2 linked regions of the Nothobranchius furzeri genome follow. The protein of the gene in region 1 binds, or shares a complex with, the protein of each later gene. Links are inferred from orthologs where the notes say so. Each region holds a gene or a part of one and is shown in the gene's direction. Other genes may lie near its edges.

Region 1 (3,817 bases):
TGTGAATCCTTGTTTGTTTTACTTTAAGCTCAATTGTCTTTGCTCACTGTACCTGTTCCTGTCCCGGCGCCGGACCTGTTTCTTACCCGGTGCTGGCGCACACACTTCAGTGAGACGGCAGTATTGCACTAGGTTCCTACTGGGAGCCGAGTTGTTGCCAGGTTAATGTCCGTAGCTTCTGTCCTCTTCCTGCTGCCAGGAAACCACGTCCAGTTTGAGCTTCAGACCCTCGGCTGATTCGTTTGTAAGGAAATGACATCAGTGAGAAGTTAACCAACCTTCTCCGCCTTTTTGTCTTTTCTCCACAGCTGAAACTAGAAGATCGATCAATCGTCATCAGAGACATTGTGAGACGGAACAACTCGTGTGTAAGTGAAGTCTGACAGTCTTTGATGTTACTGAAAAATCACTAATCTTTCACTATGATGTCATCGATTCACATTGCTATTGATCATTGTGTGTGCGTGCGTGCGTGTGTGTGTGTGTGTTGTATTTCAGGACAACCAGTGTGGTATTGTGACCAACATTGACATTGAATGTGCCGTGAAGCTGGTGGGAACCAGCTGTGTTCTGTATCCAGTGAACAGCAGAGACCTGCAGCACATCTGGGTGAGACACACGCACGCACACACACACGCACGTGCGCGCACGCACGCACTGTCCTGCAGGCTCATGAATAACCTGGTGAAACTAACATGATCTTTATTTGTTTTTAGTCTTTTATGTACGGAGACTACATAGCCTATGACTTCTGGCTGGGCAAAGTGTACGACCTGACCAATCACATCATCCTCAAGCTGTCTAACGGAGCCAGGTGTGTGTGTGTGTGTGTGTGTGTGTCAGAGCGTTAGAGCATGCCAGGTCAGACTCACCATCTGCCCCCTGTCCAGGTGCTCCATGAGTGTGGAAGACGGTGCCAAGCTTTACGATGTCTGTCCACACGTCAGTGACTCGGTACGTAGCCTGAAGCTCCCGTCTTCTACTGACGTCCAGGTCTCTTTGGAGTACTTTCTCTGCTCTGTGGGGAGCAACCTGATTTAGGACGACGGATTATTTTCAGCTTCATGGTGGTGTAAACTGTAATTTTTCATTTAGCATCGAAAAATAAGTTTTTGTTAGAAGTTGTTTAGTTGGTTCTTCCTGGAAGGAGACCTGTTCTTCACTTCAGGGGAGAACAAAGCCGGAGATATTTGGATCTAAGATGTCGGTCTAAGGTTAAAGTGGTGCTCAGAACCATCCTTGACTATTCTGCTGTGGAACCATGAAGAGCTGGTCTGAGTTGTGTCTGTGCTGTTTTTATCTTTAGGGTCTGTTCTTTGACGAGGCGTACGGTTTTTACCCGGGCCAGGTCCTGATCGGTCCCGCCAAAGTCTTCTCTAATGTCCAGTGGCTGTCGGGGGTCAAACCCGTCCTGAGCAGGAAATGCAAGTTCAGAGTTGTGGTGGAGGAGGTAAATCCGCACTCATGTAACCTGACAACTCTTACTTTAACATACGTCTCCTTTTCCTCCCTGTTCAGCTTCCAGGTAGCGCCGGTTCTTATGTTTTTAATGCTGACTTGGAGACTTGTGCTCCCCCCCCCCCCCCCCCAGGTGCAGGTGGTGGAGTTAAAAGTCACCTGGATCACAAAGAGCTACTCCCCAAAAGGCTCAGATGGTGTTTACCCACCTCCCTCCACCATCGCGCAGGAAGACCTGCAGCGGTCAGTCCACTCGGTCTCATTCGGCATCCGCTTCATCAGAGTCGGACCTTTGTGGGTCCAGGCCAGCCTACTGAATGTGATGTTTGCTTCTAGGGTGAGACGTCTGGGCTACTACGACCACACGCAGAGGCAGCTGGGGGAAAGGGCCCTCTACATCTTTCCAGCCAAAGGCGACGTCACGCGCATCATCTGCGACGGACCTGAGGGTGCTCATGTTCCGCTGGAGGACCCCGTTGCTAGAAAGGTGCTGCTGACACATTTTAGATTTTTAAATATTTGTGTTCAAGATGTGGAACAGTCTGGGTACCGAATTCGGTACTTTTTAAGGTACCGACCGAATTCCATAGTACCGACCGAGCACCGATTCACGTCGTTTCAAACGGTGCCTCGTTTCGGTACCCGTCCTTCATAACGAGAACTTGCCTAGACAGCTGCGCATGCGCAAGAGCGTTATGTCATCGGTCGCTGCGAGCCAGTTGTAAACGGAGCAGCATGGTAGAAAGAACGCACGCTAACGCTTGGGTCCACTTCACTAAATGTGATGGGTAACTGGGTGATGATGAAACCAGCGACAACGATCTAAGTGAGACATCCTCATCTTAATCTGCTCCGGTAGGTAAATAAAATGTTTAAGATAGCGTTAGCTTGATATGTTAGCTTCCGTTTCACTAATGGTGCGTTCGCTTTCTCCTCGGAACTCCGATTTTTCGACTAGAACATGAACGCGCTCTAAAGTTTGGCTTCACTTTACTAAATGCGACGGGTGATTGGGTGAAGATGAAACCAGCGACAACGATCTAAGTGTGAGGCATCATCGTTTTAATCTGCTCCAGCAGTTAAATAAACTGTTTAAGATAACGTTAGCTTGATATGTTAGCTTCCATTGCCACCATTGTTATCAGCTAATGGTGCGTTCGCTTTCTCCTCGGAAATTCTAACTTCCCAGTAGGAAAAATCAAATGAAAAAAGACGGCAAAAGGAATGAAGATACACAGTAAATTTAGTTCACAGTAAAGATGTTTGCTTCAGTTTAATTATCAGCTTGTAAAACTACAAGGACAATGTTAAAATACAAACAGTTGAATGTTATTTATCGTGATATTTATCAAATATGGTTATATATTGAGAAAAATATATATTTAATTATAAAAGAGAATTAAAATGATAAACACTCAAAAGTATCTAAAATTGGTACCGTTAAGTACCGGTATCGATTCCTAGGTACCTGGAATTAGTACCGGATCGATTCAAATGTCAAAGGTACCCATCCCTAGGAACAGAAGCACGTCGATGATTTAACAATGAGACCTGGGTCCGTTTGGGTTTACAGGCTAATTTACTCTTTGTGTTTTCTGCAGCTTAAAAGGATGTTCAAGAAGGATTCTGGGAAGAAGACAGAAAACGCCGACTCAGAAGGTGTTTACAATCAGATCATGAAAGCGCTGTAGTTTTTGTTTTGTCCTCCTAACACCAGCAGCTCGTTCCTCACACACACTCGGCCGTTACAGAGGGGTGTGTGTGAAAGTTTAGCTGCAGAGTAGAGACACGTTTCCTGTCCTTATGCTGACTTTAGTGTTTGTATTTCCTTCTAATTTAAATTTTAACTGGATGAAGCAAATTCAGCAGAGCACAAGTCTGATCAGACCGACTCGTCTCAGCCCAACGGCCCGGTGAGCCCCGCTCAGAACCCGCCGGACTCTCAGAACACCAGTGATGCCGCGCACGGGGAGCAGGACGCCGATGACGAGGCTGGAGAGGACACGGACGACACCAGGTCTGTGGGGACCACTTTAAATATGGAGTCCAGTTTAGTCTGGTTTAAAAGATCTGAGCATAGGAAGCTCCTAACGTGGGGGGTGTGACCTTTTCTAACATTAAACATCAGTTATAAAGAAAAACGATGTGTGTGTGTGTGTGTGTGTGTCTGAATCTTTCTGCAGCTCTCTGACGTCCTCAGCCAGCTCCACGGCATCCTCTCAGAGCGGCGGTCTGGGAACAAACCGCAAAAAGAGCATCCCGCTCTCCATCCGCAACCTCAAGAGGAAACACAAGAAGAAGAGGACCAAGTTCTCCCGCGAGTTCAAGCCCGGAGACCGGTGCGTTCCCTCTTGGAGAG
Region 2 (3,817 bases), on another chromosome or scaffold:
CTGAGGTTGGCCTGGGACTAAGTCCCAGTTTATTATTTCATTCCAGTGTGAATTTGAGTTTGACACCCCTGACTTAATGTTCAATTGAAATATTGATTTGTATCTCAGCATTTTAATTATTTAGGACCAGACTGAAGTGAATTTAATTGTGATTAATCGATTCAGAGCCTTCAGATTCAAAATCAAATCGATTTAGGAAATGAGCCACAATACCCAGCACGAGTTGCATGTCACGTGGCTGTTTAACCAACAACCTCTGCCTTGTTTTTCATTTGGATTTATTTATTTCATTCAAAATAAAACATATAAAAATGATTGATGTCAAGTTGTTGTTATTGTTGTTGTTAGCCTCAAGGGCCACATGCCGATTATCACTTGTAAGTCGCTTTGGACAAAAGCGTCTGCTAAATACATAAACATAAATACATAACAAAAAAATCAAATTTGAACGAAAAGGAGCAGAATAAAGAAAAACTTCTTATAATTTCTGCAACCTTTTCCAGTAGAAATAATTAATTTATATATAATTACCATTTGTCAGACACACATACACATTCATTTTAATCTTTTTCCTGTTCTAAATTCCAGTGTGATCATGATCATTGATTTAATTTACATTTTCATAATTATTTAGTACACTATTTGATACATTTTTTGAATATATTAAATGACAGTCTTTTAATTTCCCTTTTAAGGTTATTCCATAATTTAACACCAATTACAGATATATTCCACTCCTTCACTTTAGTTCTAAATCTAGCTTTTGTAAACACATCAGTTTCTTTCAGCACGTAATTACTAGTTCTCTTTTCAAATATCCCCTGAATGTTTGTTGGCAGAGTACCTAGATTGGCTTTGTACATGGTTTGTATGATATTTAAATGCACGCATCGTTTGTTTCCACTAACCTGATGATGTTCACCCGATTTCTCTTCCAGAGAAGTGAGATCGTGTCAGCAGCTTATGAGCCCACAGATGAGGAATGTGAATGGAAGGCAGATGAGGAGGAAGAGCTGACAGTAAGTAAGCAGGTACAGGTGACGTATACCTGCATGCTTTGTCTGAACTGTTTTACTTCACTTAGCTTCTGTGCAGCTTTAGGAGTTATTCCTGGAATGTTTGCAGAGCTTTTTAATTTTTTTATAAAACTGTTTTAACGGAGGCAGCGTTGATGTGTCCACGCCTTCATACTGCGACGTGAAATGTGGCCAAGCCTCGTTTTAAAAATAAATGTTCTGTCTCGCTCAGGATGAGATGAAGGAGAAGGCAAAGTTGGAGGAAGAGAAGAAGGACGAGGAGAAGGAAGACCCCAAAGGCATCCCAGAGTTCTGGTCAACGGTTTTCAAAAATGTGGACCTGCTCAGCGACATGCTGCAGGTGGGTTTAGCCACTCCAGCAGAGGAACAGAAAGTCTTGTCACAGACACCAGCTGCTGCTGACGCCTCACACAGAGAAACCAGATCTGGTTCCACCTGCTGGCAGAAGTTTGCACAAGCCTGTCCGTGTTAGCCAAAATCTTCTAAAGCTGCCCGTTTCTTTGTTCCCTCCCCAGGAACACGATGAACCCATCCTAAAACATTTACAAGATATTAAAGTAAAATTCTCCGATCCAGGACAGCCGATGGTGAGTCTTTGCCTCAGATGGACGAAACTTCAGTAGTTGGACAGCAAACTGCTTAACTGGGCTTTTGTTTTTCATTCAGAGCTTCACATTAGAGTTCCACTTTGAGCCCAATGAGTTCTTTACAAATACAGTGTTAACAAAAGTCTACAAAATGAGGTCGGAACCAGACGAAAGCGACCCGTTCTCCTTTGATGGACCAGAGATCATGAGTTGCACAGGGTGAGTCCACTGCGTCACCGTTGAGTCGTGAAGCTGTTCTCTGTAGTGCAGATGAGCTGATGCCATCTTGTCTTTTTGTTTTCCTGCAGCTGCACGATTGACTGGACAAAGGGAAAGAACGTCACATTGAAAACAATCAAGAAGAAACAAAAGCACAAGGGTCGCGGGACCGTGAGGACGGTCACCAAAACTGTCCCCAACGACTCCTTCTTTAACTTCTTCAGCCCACCGGAAGGTAAGGGTGGAGCATCCCTGTTGATGTTTACACTCATAACTCTTCTACTAATAACTTGATCCATCTTCTCTCTTCACAGTCCCAGAAAATGGAGAACTGGTGAGTTTGTGTTTTTATTGCAAAGTTTCTTTACTGGTGACGAGTTTTTCAGCCCTAAAGGTGATCAGTGTGTGACTGCAGCGCCGGTTATGGTTGCAAGTGTTTAACTTTGCCTAATTGGAAGGTTATTAAAATCAAAACTCTTGATCATCTTTAAGTTTGTGAAATCCAGAGACTGATCAAACATGTGGGTTGTGTTGGAGGGAAACCTGATCTTCATCACCAGTTTGTGGTTGTTCTACAAATGCATAGTTACCATTTGATGTTAGGTGATTAATAAAAGGTGGCTGATGTGTTTGCCTTCAGGATGAGGACTCTGAAGCGGTTCTAACAGCAGACTTTGAAATCGGCCACTTCATCCGGGAGCGCATCGTACCCAGAGCTGTGCTGTACTTCACGGGGGAGGCCATCGAGGATGACGATGACGATGTGAGTGAGGAACATCTCAACTCTGGTTTAGGGTTGTCACGGTAACCTGTGTAGCGGTAAACCCCGGTAAAAAAGTTGGCAATAATAATTCTTGTTTTTAAAAAAAAACTATATTATCTCGGTGGATTACCGTGGCTGCGGTGTAGGCGCGGTGACCCTTACCAGCCACCGTATCATCTGCTGAAGTTGCCGGCGGCACATGCGCACTTTGTTGTTTACAACCTTCTTGAAGCTAAAGCTGAAATAATGGTCAAAGGAGGAGACGGCAGCACTCAGGACATTTTTTATCCCTCAAAGAAGACAAAGTGGGAAGTACGGTCATTTTTTGGATATTTGAAGAATGCCGAGGGACAGTTGATAGAAGACGGCTATCCTGTTTGCAGCACGTGCAGAAAAAGTGTCTGTGAAAGGCAGCAACGCTTCAAATCTCATGACACATCTGCATGACCATCACCCACAACTCTACAGTCAACACAAGGCAAGCTAACGATAGCCTCCTCTCGTCTTGTCTTCCTCCGCTTATCCGGGTCCGGGTCGCGGGGGCAGCATCCCAACTAGGGAGCTCCAGGCCGTCCTCTCCCCAGCCTTGTCCACCAGCTCCTCCGGCAGGACCCCAAGGCGTTCCCGGACCAGATTGGAGATGTAACCTCTCCAACGTGTCCTGGGTCGACCCGGGGGCCTTCTGCCGGCAGGACATGCCCGAAACACCTCCCCGGGGAGGCGTCCAGGAGGCATCCTGACCAGATGCCCAAACCACCTCAACTGGCTCCTTTCGATCCGGAGGAGCAGAGGTTCTACTCCGAGTCCCTCCCGAATGTCCGAGCTCCTCACCCTATCTCTAAGGCTGAGCCCGGCCACCCTACGGAGGAAACTCATTTCGGCCGCTTGTATCCGCGATCTCGTTCTTTCGGTCATTACCCAAAGCTCATGACCATAGGTGAGGATTGGGACGTAGATCGACCGGTAAATCGAGAGCCTGGCTTTCTGGCTCAGCTCCCTCTTCCCCACGACAGATTGGCTCAGCGTCCGCATCACTGCAGACGCCGAACCAATCCGCCTGTCGATCTCCCGATCCCTCCTACCCTCACTCGTGAACAAGACCCCGAGATACTTAAACTCCTCCACTTGAGGTAGGACCCCTCCCCCGACCCGGAGGTGGCAAGCCACCCTTTTCCGGTCGAGAACCATGGTCTCAGATTTGGAGGTGCTGA

The links.
Region 2: the proteins of ube2o (region 1) and nap1l1 are in contact, whole or in part, in a cryo-EM structure (PDB 7UN6), measured with the Homo sapiens proteins. The link is inferred for Nothobranchius furzeri from reciprocal best matches to the Homo sapiens genes UBE2O and NAP1L1. Residues at the interface, in NP_071349.3 of Homo sapiens: Ser225, Asn226, Val282, Lys283, Pro284, Val285, Lys289, Ser290, Lys291, Phe292, Arg293; in NP_001317160.1 of Homo sapiens: Arg333, Arg337, Thr343, Gly344, Glu345, Ala346, Ile347, Asp349.

The regions. Positions count from the first base shown.
Region 1 is NC_091747.1:74,405,658-74,409,474, reverse strand, and holds part of ube2o ((E3-independent) E2 ubiquitin-conjugating enzyme), read left to right. Parts: intron 1-308; coding exon 309-368; intron 369-498; coding exon 499-609; intron 610-716; coding exon 717-814; intron 815-890; coding exon 891-954; intron 955-1,306; coding exon 1,307-1,450; intron 1,451-1,591; coding exon 1,592-1,701; intron 1,702-1,794; coding exon 1,795-1,945; intron 1,946-3,059; coding exon 3,060-3,117; intron 3,118-3,315; coding exon 3,316-3,475; intron 3,476-3,641; coding exon 3,642-3,797; intron 3,798-3,817. UniProt on the Homo sapiens protein: E2/E3 hybrid ubiquitin-protein ligase that displays both E2 and E3 ligase activities and mediates monoubiquitination of target proteins. Negatively regulates TRAF6-mediated NF-kappa-B activation independently of its E2 activity.
Region 2 is NC_091741.1:58,529,163-58,532,979, forward strand, and holds part of nap1l1 (nucleosome assembly protein 1-like 1), read left to right. Parts: intron 1-938; coding exon 939-1,031; intron 1,032-1,248; coding exon 1,249-1,377; intron 1,378-1,552; coding exon 1,553-1,624; intron 1,625-1,703; coding exon 1,704-1,843; intron 1,844-1,932; coding exon 1,933-2,078; intron 2,079-2,157; coding exon 2,158-2,177; intron 2,178-2,483; coding exon 2,484-2,606; intron 2,607-3,817. UniProt on the Homo sapiens protein: Histone chaperone that plays a role in the nuclear import of H2A-H2B and nucleosome assembly.